Saccharomyces cerevisiae S288C: one gene and its partners. The main gene of each other region encodes a partner of the protein of the gene in region 3 in a complex. Each region holds a gene or a part of one and is shown on either strand. Other genes may lie near its edges. A codon is read from its position in the direction of its gene.

Region 1 (6,135 bases), 190 kb from region 3:
GTACACTTTTTAGATTTTCTTCGTTTATTGAAGCATGATTTTTGATACTATGTGTAATTTTTGAGAAATAATTTCTTGGTGGTACAGAGGGCTTGGATGCGGGAGCATCCTTTGTTCCAGTTGGTTTTTCCTTGTAATAAAACCTCACACCATCTAATGCATAGCCATGGTATATTCTCACAGCAGTGACTAATCTAACATCAAAAGCGACGACGCCGACAGCATTACCACCGTCGCTGCGACCATAAAGTGGTGATTTGATACCTTGAACATTTTTAGAAAACCCATATTTCGACATGTCTAATGGCTGAACATCTAACAAAGATGGGAACTTGTCGAACTCGGTTTCCGGTGCATTAACAGAAAGAATTTTCAATTTGAAGGTATTGCCAAACTTGGCGAGTTCATTCTTGGGCAACCTGGCACGTAAATCATCTAATGTTACTATAACTTCCCGTTGAGGCCCCTGTCCACCTAGGGAAACCGGCAAGTATTCAATATGGCCCCTGGCCAAATCATCACATATAATTTCAATCAAATAGATTCCTGTGGGCGATAATATGCGGCAACTGCCGTTACCCAAAGGATATACAGAGTGTTTTATATTGGGGTATCCGCCCAATTTTGTAGGTCTCATGAACGATGGATCGTAATAATCCTGTGGTAAAGTGAAAGAGGGGTGGTACAAAAATCTTACCGTATCGAGACGGTTCCAGGTACATTCTTCCTTGGGGAAGATGGGAGGACTAGCACCAGTTGAATTAGTTCTTACAGAATAAGCCTCTTTAGTCAAGAAAGACCTATTCAAAGTGGTATAGCCTCTTAGCATAACACCGCTTTCCTGATGAGGACAACCCAGTAAGTGACCAATCTCATGCATAAATGCTCCCAACGTGATAGTCAAACATTCCCAGTAAGTACCACACTCATTACAGTCGTTGGCGACTTCACTGGTGGAGGATCTTGTCTCATCAGTAAAATAAGGCACCAATTGCTCGAGACAAGTAGGCCATGAGTAAAGCCCGTGCGACCCAAAAATGGCGAGCTTAATGCTGTCGTCACCCCCACCCAATGCGGCGTGGCCTCTAATCAACTTACCATCCCAGTGGGTGTCTAGAAACATACAAGCTGCCTGAACAGGCTTTTCGTTATTGGTGAAGGGTCCGCCGTAACTTTTAAGGGCGTCCATGGCTATCCCAAAAAGGGCGCCGGTGTTTTTCCCTTTGGAATTCTGTTGAGCTATGTCAGGGTCCTGGATTTCCTTCACCGTCTTTTCCGAACGAACTACATGTATTTTGATGGTGTTTCTCATAGCAGGCCGTTCGAACAGCGTGTCCCAGGTAAATTCTTCAACAAAGGGAAACGTCCTATTTCCCATACTGTTTCTCAGCATTTGCTCGTTCGTGTACGCTTGCATGAGTCTGGCCCCAAGTCTTAGCTTCTTGATTGCCAATTCGAGGCCATTCCCGCCCTCTCTGTCCTTCTGTTCTCGAGGAGAGTCAAACTGTAAAGGCGAATCCTTGGCCAAGATCAGACACAGGTGTACGGGAGGGTTCTGCGTCAGTGGTGTGTAGTAACATACGATTGTCCTAGCGGTGTTAGTGTCTGTAACAAAGGTCAACTTGTTCTCACCAGGAGTCAATATCACAGTGGCCTTGAAGAACTGATTATGTATGGGGTAAGTAATTGGAGGCAATTGTGGATGCTGCACTTGAACGGTCTTCGCACCATTTTGCTTATTGCATTTTCCGTGCACGATAAGACAAGGAGAAACGATTTGCTCGTTCTCTCTCAGGTTGAATAGATCAATATCCTTCGAGCCTACCATTTATTTCTTTCTCTTCGAACTACTACTTCCTTTTTTTTTTTTTACTGTATACGATCTAATAATAAGAAGAAAGAAGAACTCCTTTTAAATTTCCTTTTTCTCTCTATTTTCCGGCGACCGCTACTCTTAAACGTCCAAACCAAAAAAAGATCGAGAGAATTGACTGCGCCAAGACACATGAACTTCTGAAACCTAAGAAAGCCTGACTGTTCCTAAGGTGATCTATATTTATATACAACATCATGCTCTTAAAAGAATAGGTTACGTAATTAATTGATGGAAAATTTCAGCAAATTTCCGCCTAGAATGCCGGGTAACAAAAAAGTAATTAGTGCTATGTTTGGGTGATAGAATCGTGTCACAAATATACATAGCACTGACAAGTGTGCATTTTGCACTAACCACTGCTATAAGTTTTTCAGCTTAATGCAGTCTATTCAGGCACTATCTGGGCTTGAAAAACAGTCTTGGACATGGCCACTGGAGCAGATTTGTTAACGCTTAGCTGTTCTCTTTTTTTTTTTCTTGTTTTTTCCATTTACGGCAGAAGAAAATGAAAACTGGAAGAACGAAAACGAAGAAAAACAAAACTATGTAAGGAGGATGGTACATCAGGAAACAGGCCAAAAATAGCACTACAAAAAGGTTTTATCTGGCACTCAGGTCCATTTTTGCCGCATTGAAACAGACATAAATATATAAGTCTGAGACCATCTGCAAAATGTCTCATCACAAGAAACGTGTTTACCCACAAGCTCAGCTCCAGTATGGACAAAATGCCACCCCTCTACAACAGCCAGCACAATTCATGCCTCCGCAGGATCCTGCTGCAGCTGGAATGAGCTATGGTCAGATGGGAATGCCGCCACAGGGTGCAGTCCCTTCCATGGGGCAGCAACAATTCCTAACCCCTGCTCAAGAACAGTTACACCAGCAAATTGATCAGGCCACCACTTCCATGAACGATATGCATCTGCACAACGTACCGCTAGTCGATCCTAACGCTTATATGCAGCCACAGGTTCCCGTGCAAATGGGCACACCTTTGCAGCAACAGCAACAACCAATGGCAGCGCCTGCGTATGGCCAACCTAGCGCCGCAATGGGCCAAAACATGAGGCCCATGAACCAGTTGTATCCAATCGATCTGTTGACGGAATTGCCTCCTCCAATTACCGATCTGACCTTGCCTCCCCCACCGTTGGTTATTCCTCCAGAAAGGATGTTAGTTCCTTCTGAATTGTCCAATGCGTCTCCAGATTATATCAGGTCGACCTTGAACGCCGTTCCTAAGAACAGCTCCCTGCTGAAGAAGTCTAAACTTCCATTTGGGCTTGTTATCAGACCATACCAACACTTGTACGACGATATCGACCCGCCTCCATTGAATGAAGATGGACTTATTGTCCGTTGTCGTCGTTGTCGTTCTTACATGAACCCTTTTGTCACTTTTATCGAGCAAGGCAGAAGATGGAGATGTAACTTTTGTCGTCTGGCCAATGACGTTCCTATGCAAATGGACCAGAGCGATCCAAACGACCCAAAGAGTAGATACGACAGAAATGAAATCAAATGTGCTGTGATGGAATATATGGCCCCAAAGGAATATACTCTAAGACAACCACCTCCAGCCACTTACTGTTTCCTGATCGATGTCTCCCAGTCCTCTATCAAGAGTGGGTTACTGGCCACTACCATCAACACCCTTTTGCAAAATCTTGATTCCATTCCAAACCATGATGAAAGAACCAGAATTTCCATCTTATGTGTAGACAACGCCATTCACTACTTTAAAATCCCATTGGATTCTGAAAACAATGAAGAGTCCGCCGATCAAATCAACATGATGGATATTGCCGACCTGGAAGAGCCTTTCTTGCCCAGACCAAACTCTATGGTTGTGTCCTTAAAGGCCTGCAGACAAAACATTGAAACTTTATTGACCAAGATTCCTCAAATCTTCCAATCTAATTTAATCACAAATTTCGCACTGGGCCCCGCTTTGAAATCCGCTTATCATTTAATTGGTGGCGTTGGTGGTAAAATAATTGTTGTGTCAGGTACTTTGCCCAACTTAGGCATAGGAAAATTACAAAGGAGAAATGAAAGTGGTGTTGTTAATACATCCAAGGAAACTGCACAACTACTTTCCTGTCAAGACTCATTTTATAAGAATTTCACCATCGATTGTTCTAAAGTACAGATTACTGTCGATTTATTTTTGGCTTCTGAAGATTATATGGACGTTGCATCACTATCGAATTTGAGTCGTTTCACTGCTGGTCAAACGCATTTCTATCCTGGTTTTTCAGGCAAGAACCCAAATGATATTGTCAAATTTTCCACTGAGTTTGCCAAGCACATTTCCATGGATTTCTGTATGGAAACCGTAATGAGAGCCCGTGGTTCCACAGGTTTGAGAATGAGTAGATTCTATGGTCACTTCTTCAATAGATCATCTGATTTATGTGCATTTTCCACCATGCCAAGAGATCAATCATACTTATTCGAAGTTAACGTTGATGAATCCATTATGGCTGACTATTGTTATGTTCAAGTAGCGGTACTTTTATCTCTGAATAATAGTCAACGTAGAATAAGAATTATAACATTGGCTATGCCAACCACGGAATCGTTGGCAGAAGTCTACGCATCTGCTGACCAATTAGCTATAGCGTCGTTTTACAACTCGAAGGCGGTGGAGAAAGCATTGAATTCCAGTTTGGACGATGCAAGAGTATTGATCAACAAATCCGTGCAAGATATCTTAGCCACGTACAAGAAGGAAATAGTGGTGTCCAACACTGCAGGGGGGGCCCCATTGAGGTTATGTGCCAATTTGAGAATGTTCCCATTGTTAATGCATTCTTTAACTAAGCATATGGCATTTAGATCTGGTATTGTCCCAAGTGACCATCGCGCCTCGGCCTTGAACAACTTAGAATCATTACCTTTGAAATATCTAATCAAAAACATCTACCCTGATGTTTATTCGCTGCATGATATGGCTGATGAGGCTGGGTTACCAGTGCAAACTGAAGATGGTGAAGCTACTGGCACAATTGTTTTGCCTCAACCAATCAATGCTACCTCTTCGTTGTTTGAAAGATACGGTCTATACTTGATAGATAATGGTAACGAATTGTTTTTGTGGATGGGTGGTGACGCTGTACCAGCGCTAGTATTCGATGTGTTTGGAACACAGGATATCTTTGACATTCCAATTGGCAAACAGGAAATACCTGTTGTTGAAAATTCTGAATTCAATCAAAGAGTAAGAAACATTATCAACCAATTGAGAAACCATGATGATGTCATCACTTACCAATCATTGTATATTGTTAGGGGTGCCTCTTTGAGCGAGCCCGTTAACCATGCATCTGCTAGGGAAGTTGCAACGCTAAGACTATGGGCTTCTAGCACCTTAGTGGAGGATAAGATTTTGAATAACGAAAGTTACAGAGAATTCTTACAAATCATGAAAGCCAGAATTAGCAAATAAGGCTAAAAGGGAATCAATGATAAAAAGAAACTGTATATTTTTGTTGGTTGCATTTTTGCTTTCCAATTATATTATGTATATTGAACAGTTACTTTAATTTTTACTTCTATATTTCTTTTCTATTTTCATCCATGTTATAAATAAAAGATACAGTAAAAGACTTATGGATTAACTTAAGGAAATGAAGTTGAAACAAATTATACTAACTATCGGATAGCTTTATTTGTTTCAATGCATATAATCGACCTTTTTAAGCCAGAGTTAACTTTAAACCTTTCAGAATGAATTGGTAGATGTTCGGAGTTTATTTTGTCGTCCAAATAAGCTTCAAATTCAGTGATGCTACCACCGACTCCAAAATAAATATCCTTTGCGGCTACGTAAGTTTTGACATCGGTTTGTGGTAAATTGTGTATGTCAAGTATTGTTTCCGCTATAACGGGCAAATTGTCAGGTTGATAAATTGTTTCTGAGGATAATGAAAGGACTTTTTGGCTACCTGAGAGTACTTCATGGATCAAATTACTAAATTTACGTCCCCACGATCCTGATATAAGAGTGACGCTGATATTCCTGCTTTGTACATCGTCGTAAAAGGCAGCTAACAGCTTTGAGGTAAGAAGCAGTTCCTCATTATTTATTGGAATATCTTCACATTCGTCTTTCTGTAAGGCGTACCATTGTTCCTTTGTCAAAACCGTTTTAGCCCATGTTATAACCAAATTCGGTATGGTAACTAATCTTAATACACTGGCATTATAGTCAGTCAAAACAAACTTTAAACCTTTACTTCTATCATTCCGTA
Region 2 (4,402 bases), on a different chromosome or scaffold from region 3:
ACTTTGGAAGAGCCATTTGTAGGCACAATACTGCAATCTTCTGTTCTTCAACCGATAGCGGAGATAAATTACGTGTCACTCAAAGTCTTGATCAACAGCGGATATATTCAATCAGGCCAGACAATTGAAATTCATACACAATATGAAGATTTTCATTACTATGGTATAGTTTCAAGAATGAAGAATTCAAAACAAATACTGGAGACTAACACAAAAAATAATATATCAGTCGGTTTGAACCCTGACATTTTAGAGGTTCTTGTTAAGATTCATAATACCGAAGACTTCACGAAAAAGCAATTTCACATTCGTAAGGGTGATATAATAATTCACTCTAGAAAGACGAATACACTATCACCGAATTTACCAAACACACTAAAGTTGTTAGCCTTGCGTTTAATAAAATTATCAATACAAACGCACGCGCTAAGTGATCCCGTTGACTTGGGTTCTGAATTGCTTCTTTACCATAATTTGACGCACAACGCGGTAAAATTGGTGAAGATTCTCGGGACTAACGACATCTCAATTAATCCAAATCAGTCACTTATTGTCGAAGTCGAAATTATAGAACCAGACTTTGCTCTTAATGTGATTGATTCCAAATACATTACCAACAATATTGTTTTAACATCAATAGATCATAAGGTTATCGCAGTTGGCAGAATTGCATGCCAGTAATCCTACAACTAAGAAATTATACTAGGCATTCATACTTATTGTTTAATATATAAAATGAATAGTAATAAGTTGATGATAGATTGATTTTTTTAACCCATTTTACACATATCTTATGAAAGTGATATTAACCTACATAATCTAGGAACAATATAAAAACACCCATGATAATGGCACCATAAGTGGTCATTTTAGCAGTTCTTCCAGCAGCTCGTTTCGCTTTACGTAATTCTTTATTTCCCTTCTTAATATTCAATTCAATGTCATCTTGATTGTTCAGCATTAGGTTTATATTTTGAGATTGCACCGTTAAATGATTGGACAATTCGTTCTGTATATTGACAATGTCTAAAATTGTTTTGTTTATAGTCTCCACTTTTTTCAATTGCTCATTTTTTTGATTTAGCAGTTCCGAATGTTCTGTCTCCAACACTTGTAGTTGCTCCTGGGTTAATTTGGATATCGTCTCTTCATAATGTTTTACTTCGTCTTGTACAGTTTCTACGGGAGCAGATTGTGACACTGAGATGTCTATTGCATCTGCAGAGAAATCATCCGCATTGTTGGATAAAGTAGGCATAGGCGTTGAATTGAAATTCATTTTATTTTCTAATATCAATCTTTCCTGTTGTATGGTAGTGAATTTGGATGAAACATATTTTATCCACAAATTCAAACACCGTAGGACACCTAATCTAAATTCATAAACTCCATTTTCAATGTCTTGCGGATGTATCACATGCTTAGTGTTGTCGTTTTTATTGGAAAGTATTTTTGACCATCTGTGAGACTTTGACTGAAATCTTTTCAGCGACAAATTATGCCTTTCCATTTCGTAATTCTCTAGGAATTCAAACTTTTTGAAATATTGTTGAATTTGCAGCCTGCATTCCATGTCAAACTCGTCCTTTTCCGCATCACTCATATTAAAGTCATCTAAATAGTTTTTTTCAATCTGTTTTATTACCTTGTTTAATTCGACTAGGAACTTCAATAGTCTTGCACATTCCTTAATAAACGAATCCCTAAACATTTCACACGTTTCATTAGAATTCCCGAAGTCCTCTTGTTTCCTTTCAACATGATCATCTATACCATTTTGCTCATTTCTAGCATCATCGATAACAGCAACATACTTACGGAATATTGGTGTTAAATCAGACATCATGAGTTAATAAGCTCTTCACTGCTTTTACGGGTGATTTCCCAGCACCGGGGGAAATGATACTAGACGTATGTGTATGTATTCTAGTTATTCTCATTCATCTGAGCTCACAAGTTGGGTAGGGTAACGGAGATCTTTCCTTGTTGGCAGTTCTTAATTAAATGTGCCCTTTTCAGAAAGATACCAGCAAAGGTAGGAATGATTTATCATTACATGACATGTATCCATATTCCAGGATGGATCATGCGAACAAGCTTCTTTCCCCTCTCGTCTGTAAAGGACGGGATTGAGATTCAATTAAAAAATTAGTTTCATTGGAAAAGGCCAATAAAATATGCAAAGGTCCCGTCATTATACTGCAGCTACCTCAAAGAGATTAGCTTTGTGTCCTCAACGTAGGACCGCATTGAACAGGTTGGAAGAGGTGTTGCTTTTTTGACCTTCTTTCTCAAACTTAATATTTGGTGACGCGTTAAATAGAAAAAATGAAAAAGACCTTAATTGACGCGTTTCCTGAAATATTTACTATAGCATAGCTGTAATTGTATTTTCTAAACTTGTAAGTGACTGTGTATATCAAACAATAAAGTATCAAGGAGAGAGCTTCATAACAGAACGGTACAGGATGACTATGGACGGAAAAAACAAAGAAGAAGAGCAATATCTTGATCTATGCAAAAGAATCATTGATGAAGGTGAATTTAGGCCAGATAGAACAGGCACTGGTACGTTGAGTCTTTTTGCACCACCCCAGCTGCGTTTTAGTTTACGTGATGATACCTTCCCACTACTAACGACCAAGAAGGTTTTTACTAGAGGTATCATACTTGAACTATTGTGGTTTTTGGCCGGTGATACAGACGCTAACCTATTGTCTGAGCAAGGTGTTAAGATTTGGGACGGTAATGGATCTCGTGAATATTTAGATAAGATGGGGTTCAAAGATAGGAAAGTAGGAGATCTGGGGCCCGTTTACGGATTTCAATGGAGGCATTTTGGTGCTAAATACAAGACGTGCGATGACGACTATACTGGACAAGGTATTGATCAATTGAAACAGGTTATACATAAACTAAAGACAAATCCCTACGATAGAAGAATCATTATGAGTGCCTGGAACCCAGCTGATTTTGACAAAATGGCTTTGCCGCCATGCCATATTTTTTCACAGTTCTATGTCAGTTTCCCCAAAGAAGGAGAAGGATCCGGTAAGCCCCGCCTTTCATGCTTATTGTACCAACGTTCTTGTGATATGGGGTTGGGAGTACCATTTAACATTGCATCATATGCTTTGTTGACTAGAATGATTGCTAAAGTTGTCGACATGGAGCCAGGTGAGTTCATTCATACTTTGGGGGATGCACATGTTTATAAAGACCACATTGATGCCTTGAAAGAACAAATCACCAGAAATCCAAGACCATTCCCGAAACTAAAGATTAAAAGGGACGTTAAAGACATTGATGATTTCAAGTTGACAGACTTTGAAATTGAAGATTATAATCCTCATCCAAGAATTCAAATGAAAATGAGTGTATAATTGACAGCACGAGGAGAAACAAAATCATGTACTTACGTATATACACACAAAATCGAATGTATATAATACAATGGTTTATTATGCAAAAATATAGAAATTATTAAGGAACACCAGGGCAAAAAGACTATATATCATTTTTTGGTGCGATATGTTTTTGGTTGATGTTTCACTGCCTTACCATTTCCAAATAAATCAAATACTGCTAAATCATCTTCATTTAGTCTAAAGCTAACAGATTTATTATTAACATTATTAATGTTTGAATTGTTATTGTCGAAATTGTTGTAATTGTTGTTATTATTACTGGTTCCCTTTGACGACTTGGAGGGTCGCGTAGTAGAATTTTCATCAGATAAATTATTGACAATTGCATTTTTGAACAATTTTTTAGTTCTTGTTGACTTTTTCTTATTCTCCGATTTATTTGTAATGTCAAGTAAAGGCGACGATTTTTTAGGGCTATTGTTGCTAGTTAGTTTTTTTTCGTTTTTGTTGTTGCTGTTGTTGTTGGAAGTGGTCATTAGATGAGCGGTATCCTCGTGTATTTCATCTTCCGTTTTTTTCCCTTTTGGAGTTCCATAATCCTTTGAGACGACGACTTCTCTCAATTGCGGTTCGTCGGGTATTGAATCTTGGGATAAACTTTTCCTTTTATGTGAAGTTTCCCGATTTCTCTTGGAAACCTGTAGATCATGTATATCAATCACAGTAGTAGCATCCACAAGTTTTTCTGAAGGCCTCCTCATTTTGGCTCTTAAAGAAGGCAAAGTGTAATCTACAGCTTTACCACGAGTTCTTCTAGTTCTCGTAAATGATATTTCGCTGTTGCTGCTCATGTTACTTACGGGCATGACTTCGTCAATAACCTTTTTCTTCAGTTCTATCCTAGGCGGCTTCATGGAATGCTTAATTTTGGTCTTTGGATGAGAATTAGTAGAAGAACTTGATGAAGGATAGACCGTTGAAGCATCGCTAGTGGTAGTAGGTAAAGTTGCGGATGGGCCTGGTAAAGGCAACGG
Region 3 (3,912 bases):
AGAGTCCATTTTCTTTTCCATTTCATCCAACTTAAGTTCGACTTCCGAGATTTTCTCTTCTCCTCCTTTTAGTAGGTTCAAAACATCTAAAATATCCTTTGCGCCTGCAGTACTGACATCTTCGGGTGTATCACGAGTCATATTATTGACGACGAGTGAAGTGTTCTGCGATTTCTCTAGAGTAATTGATTCAGTTGCTCTTTCTCAAAATTGTGTGATTAAATATTATTTCTTTGTCAATATTTACCCGGCCTTTTAAATTTGTATCACCACTTGAAGAACATGCTGCAGTTGCCGGTTAGCTTCTAACCACCTTTCGATATAGGAATCGAAATAGGAATCGAAATTTATTTCTAGGCCCAAGGATCAAAATATAAGTGTATATAAACACACACACACACATATATATATATATACGTACATGCATAGGAGAGGATCTTATTTTGGAGATTCTATCTGGGGTTGCTCGTGTTTATCCACAACAGGGGTTGTAGTGTCTTGTTTCCTCAGTTTCTTCATTATTTCTTCAAAAATGGGACAAAGAGATGATTCTCTGTACATTTCTACAAGCGTTTTTTTACTTGAAACTTGATTCTCAATCATTTCTACAAATTTTGGATCTATAGGAACGTTACCAAGGTATGGGACAGAAAATTGCTCCGATAATCTTTTACCACCCCCACTGGAAAAGATATTTGTACACTCAGCACAATGCGGGCATACAAACCCTGACATGTTTTCAATTATACCGAGGATCTTTAAATCGACCTTCTTGCAGAAATTGATTTCTTTTTTGACATCAGCTGTTGCAACACTCTGTGGGGTAGTTACTACAATACCACCATCTGGTTTGGAATATCTCAGCTCCTCTGCAATCGATATATGTTCATCCGACGTTCCCGGAGGGGTATCGATCAGTAAGTAATCCAGTTCACCCCAGGCGACGTCAGAGATGAATTGTTTTATCATAGAAGTCTTCTTAGGACCCCTCCATATCACGCTGTTCCCTCTATCACCTAGTAGAAACCCCAATGATATTACACTAAGAGAGCCAGTAGAGTTTGTCTCCACTTTCACAGGTTGCCAACCTTCAGGACCTTGATATATAGATTCGTTCTCTAGGCCAAACATCCTCGGTAAGGATGGCCCTGTTAAATCAATATCTAAAACTCCAACTTTGAAGCCCATACTGCAAAGAGTCAGCGCAGTCTGTGTCGTTACCGAACTTTTACCGACACCACCTTTTCCGGAAAGGATCAATATGATATGTTTTATTCCTGCCAAAGAGGCCGCAGGAACGCCTATCTCCTGTTCCTCCATGCTTAATTGTAATAGTCGTATTAGTTTTGGGTGCTCCTCGACGCATGTGTATAGTTTTCATTTTGATGGTGTAAAACGTTCATGACTAATGAAGCCTTCCGATTTCTTTCCATTTTGCTATTACTTGCGCGATGAGCCGTCTAATGTGATTCTTCCAAATAATATCTAATAAACCCATGGTGTTTACTCTGTGATAGGAACCAAAGATCCCGTAATTATCGCTTTGTAATTGTATTTCCAGTTATTTCTGTACATTCTAGGTTACTGTTCAGGGATATGTTTCACTCTTATCGATGTGGCGTGCAAAAAATTTGAAGGGGCGACATATCAGGGAAAGTATTAGTGATTTTTTATAATGTTGCACTATCTCAGATGAAATTTATGCATGCTAATTGGCGGATACTACTCTACCGTTGTTGCAAGCTACGTAGGAACGTTCACGGCTCTTTCTTCCATTAATTTTAAATTGCGAAAGTATCCAGTAGTTGTTAAAAATGGAGTTTTTTCAACTCGCGCCTTTTGCCAAGGAATGGTAGAAAACAAACAGTAGTTCACTTGAGACTGTGAATGTGTTAGAAAATGTGATTGAAGAGCCTCACAACACTAGGCTACACAGATGAGTTCAAGGTATGAGAAATTATTAGACTATTCTAAAGTTAGAGTAGCGCTTTTTGTTAAACATCTACCATAACACCTCGATATTGGGAGTTATTGACCACGAGTGAACTTCGTTTACTAACTATAGCGTGTGTATATAGATTTGCAGGGGGAAACGCTTATCAACGTGATACTGGTAGAACACAGTTATTCGGACCGGCTGATGGATCAAATAGTCTCGATGACAATGTATCATCAGCGCTAGGGAGCACAGATAAATTAGACTACTCCCAAAGTACTTTGGCATCTCTTGAATCTCAAAGTGAGGAACAGATGGGAGCTATGGGTCAGAGAATAAAAGCACTCAAGTCATTATCGTTGAAGATGGGTGATGAGATTAGAGGCAGCAATCAAACTATTGACCAGCTTGGTGATACTTTCCATAACACTTCTGTAAAACTCAAAAGGACTTTTGGAAACATGATGGAGATGGCCAGAAGATCTGGGATCAGTATAAAAACATGGTTAATAATATTTTTTATGGTAGGCGTGCTATTTTTTTGGGTATGGATTACATAAATATTTGCATATTGTACATTAAACCTAAGTGACAAAATAAGAGCGACGTTTGTTAGATGATTGTAGATATTGATACGTGAAATAAAGGATAGTTATGATAGCATCATAAGATATCAGCATTCTTTTATTTTTATAACTACTTAAGCGTTTAATCTTGATTTTTTTTTTTCTCCATATTTCCTAGGATACCGACAGCGTTCCTTTTCGCCCTATAGTGTTTCCTTACTTTGTATCTTCTGTAAATAGATGGACCTTTGAGTATTGCGATAAACAAAACAATAACAATTAAGTAACCGGGCATGCCGTTCCCGTGGATTATGTCTAGGAAACTGAGGACATTATGGAATGGAGAATTTATCAATCTCCCCTTCAACTTAGAGCTGTATAGAGCTTTTGATGGAATATTTAAGGACACGAATGCTTCTCTCAGCAATTGAGGGTTGTTAGAAGTCAAGGAGTTGCCAAAATTATCTTTATTGTAGTAGTAATTATTTGATTTATCAATGATAATCACATCACCAATTTTATATTCTCCAGTAATACCATATTTTCTAAAAAAATTCTTCTCCTTTGAAATATCTAAATATCCTAATAACAATTTTTTTTGATCCATATGGGGAATCTCTTCACGCATTTTATCAACAATTTTGTTAGCCGGAGCCTTTTTTTCCTTTATTTTCTTGATCCCGTCTGCTTTCCTTGCCCTTCTCTCATTAATTTCTTCGAAGTTATTTTCCATCCGAATATGTTCATACTCCCAACTTGCGAGGAGCAAGTTTTTAATAAGCTTGTTGCTTCCTTTGATATGTTTGTGGTCAGTGCTACTTATTAACTGAATTGCTAAATCACTGTAGCTCTTGGTTTGGAAGGAAATTAATTTTTTCAAATTAGAAGAGTCAACTTCGGTAACTAAGGGATTAGAATACTTTTTTACCCAATCCATAATGGCATCAATATTTCTCATTTCTGTTGTGGAGTATCCGGGGAAAACATAGGATATGGGATCACCATCTTTAAACATGAAAAAAGTTGGGAGTTGCGTAACCGTATTCATAGTAAAGTATTCTTTGTTAAAAACCTTTTGAGTTTGGCTGGCGTCGTAGTTGATCTTTTCATACATTCTTCCAAAAAGATTACGTGACAAATTTATTAGATTCTTGTCAATTTGGTGCAAATATATGTTTGGAATTTTTGACAAAGGCTCGATTAAATACTCCAAAATGTCAAAATCTTCAATAACAACAGTTTCGGGGTCATATGAAAAAACTAAATGGATATCATTATTAGTTACTCGTCCCCTTTCTTGCAGAAAATCAATGTCTCTGTTTGCTTTTTTTTCGAGCTCCCCTTCTGTTATATTGGGAAATTTACTGTTTGTAAAAGTCCTCCTGGCAAAATCTACATAGCCATCTGACT

What was found.
Region 1: the proteins of BET1 (region 3) and SEC24 are in contact, whole or in part, in a crystal structure (PDB 1PCX), measured with the Saccharomyces cerevisiae proteins. Residues at the interface, in NP_012262.3 of Saccharomyces cerevisiae: Leu51 (codon at 2,218), Ala52 (codon at 2,221), Leu54 (codon at 2,227), Glu55 (codon at 2,230), Ser56 (codon at 2,233), Gln57 (codon at 2,236), Ser58 (codon at 2,239); in NP_012157.3 of Saccharomyces cerevisiae: Arg230 (codon at 3,237), Arg235 (codon at 3,252), Tyr237 (codon at 3,258), Glu295 (codon at 3,432), Tyr296 (codon at 3,435), Thr297 (codon at 3,438), Leu298 (codon at 3,441), Gln494 (codon at 4,029), Glu555 (codon at 4,212), Val557 (codon at 4,218), Arg559 (codon at 4,224), Arg561 (codon at 4,230), Leu582 (codon at 4,293), Ala614 (codon at 4,389), Leu616 (codon at 4,395), Arg624 (codon at 4,419).
Region 2: BET1 (region 3) and UFE1 share a complex: the UniProt entries of both Saccharomyces cerevisiae proteins name them as parts of the SNARE complex.

The regions. Positions count from the first base shown.
Region 1 is NC_001141.2:156,580-162,714, reverse strand, and holds SEC24 (COPII subunit SEC24), read left to right. Parts: upstream 1-2,549; coding exon 2,550-5,330; downstream 5,331-6,135. Other genes in the region: YIL108W (putative metalloendopeptidase), read right to left, coding at 1-1,828; HPM1 (protein-histidine N-methyltransferase), read right to left, coding at 5,537-6,135. UniProt on the Saccharomyces cerevisiae protein: Component of the coat protein complex II (COPII) which promotes the formation of transport vesicles from the endoplasmic reticulum (ER).
Region 2 is NC_001147.6:465,656-470,057, reverse strand, and holds UFE1 (Ufe1p), read right to left. Parts: upstream 1,847-4,402; coding exon 806-1,846; downstream 1-805. Other genes in the region: SKI7 (Ski7p), read left to right, coding at 1-681; CDC21 (thymidylate synthase), read left to right, coding at 2,469-3,383; SGO1 (Sgo1p), read right to left, coding at 3,515-4,402. UniProt on the Saccharomyces cerevisiae protein: Syntaxin required for targeting and fusion of Golgi-derived retrograde transport vesicles with the ER.
Region 3 is NC_001141.2:346,530-350,441, reverse strand, and holds BET1 (Bet1p), read left to right. Parts: upstream 1-1,936; coding exon 1,937-1,947; intron 1,948-2,078; coding exon 2,079-2,496; downstream 2,497-3,912. Other genes in the region: CMI7 (Cmi7p), read right to left, coding at 1-141; iron-sulfur cluster assembly protein CFD1, read right to left, coding at 439-1,320; protein disulfide isomerase EPS1, read right to left, coding at 2,645-3,912. UniProt on the Saccharomyces cerevisiae protein: SNARE required for targeting and fusion of ER-derived transport vesicles with the Golgi complex.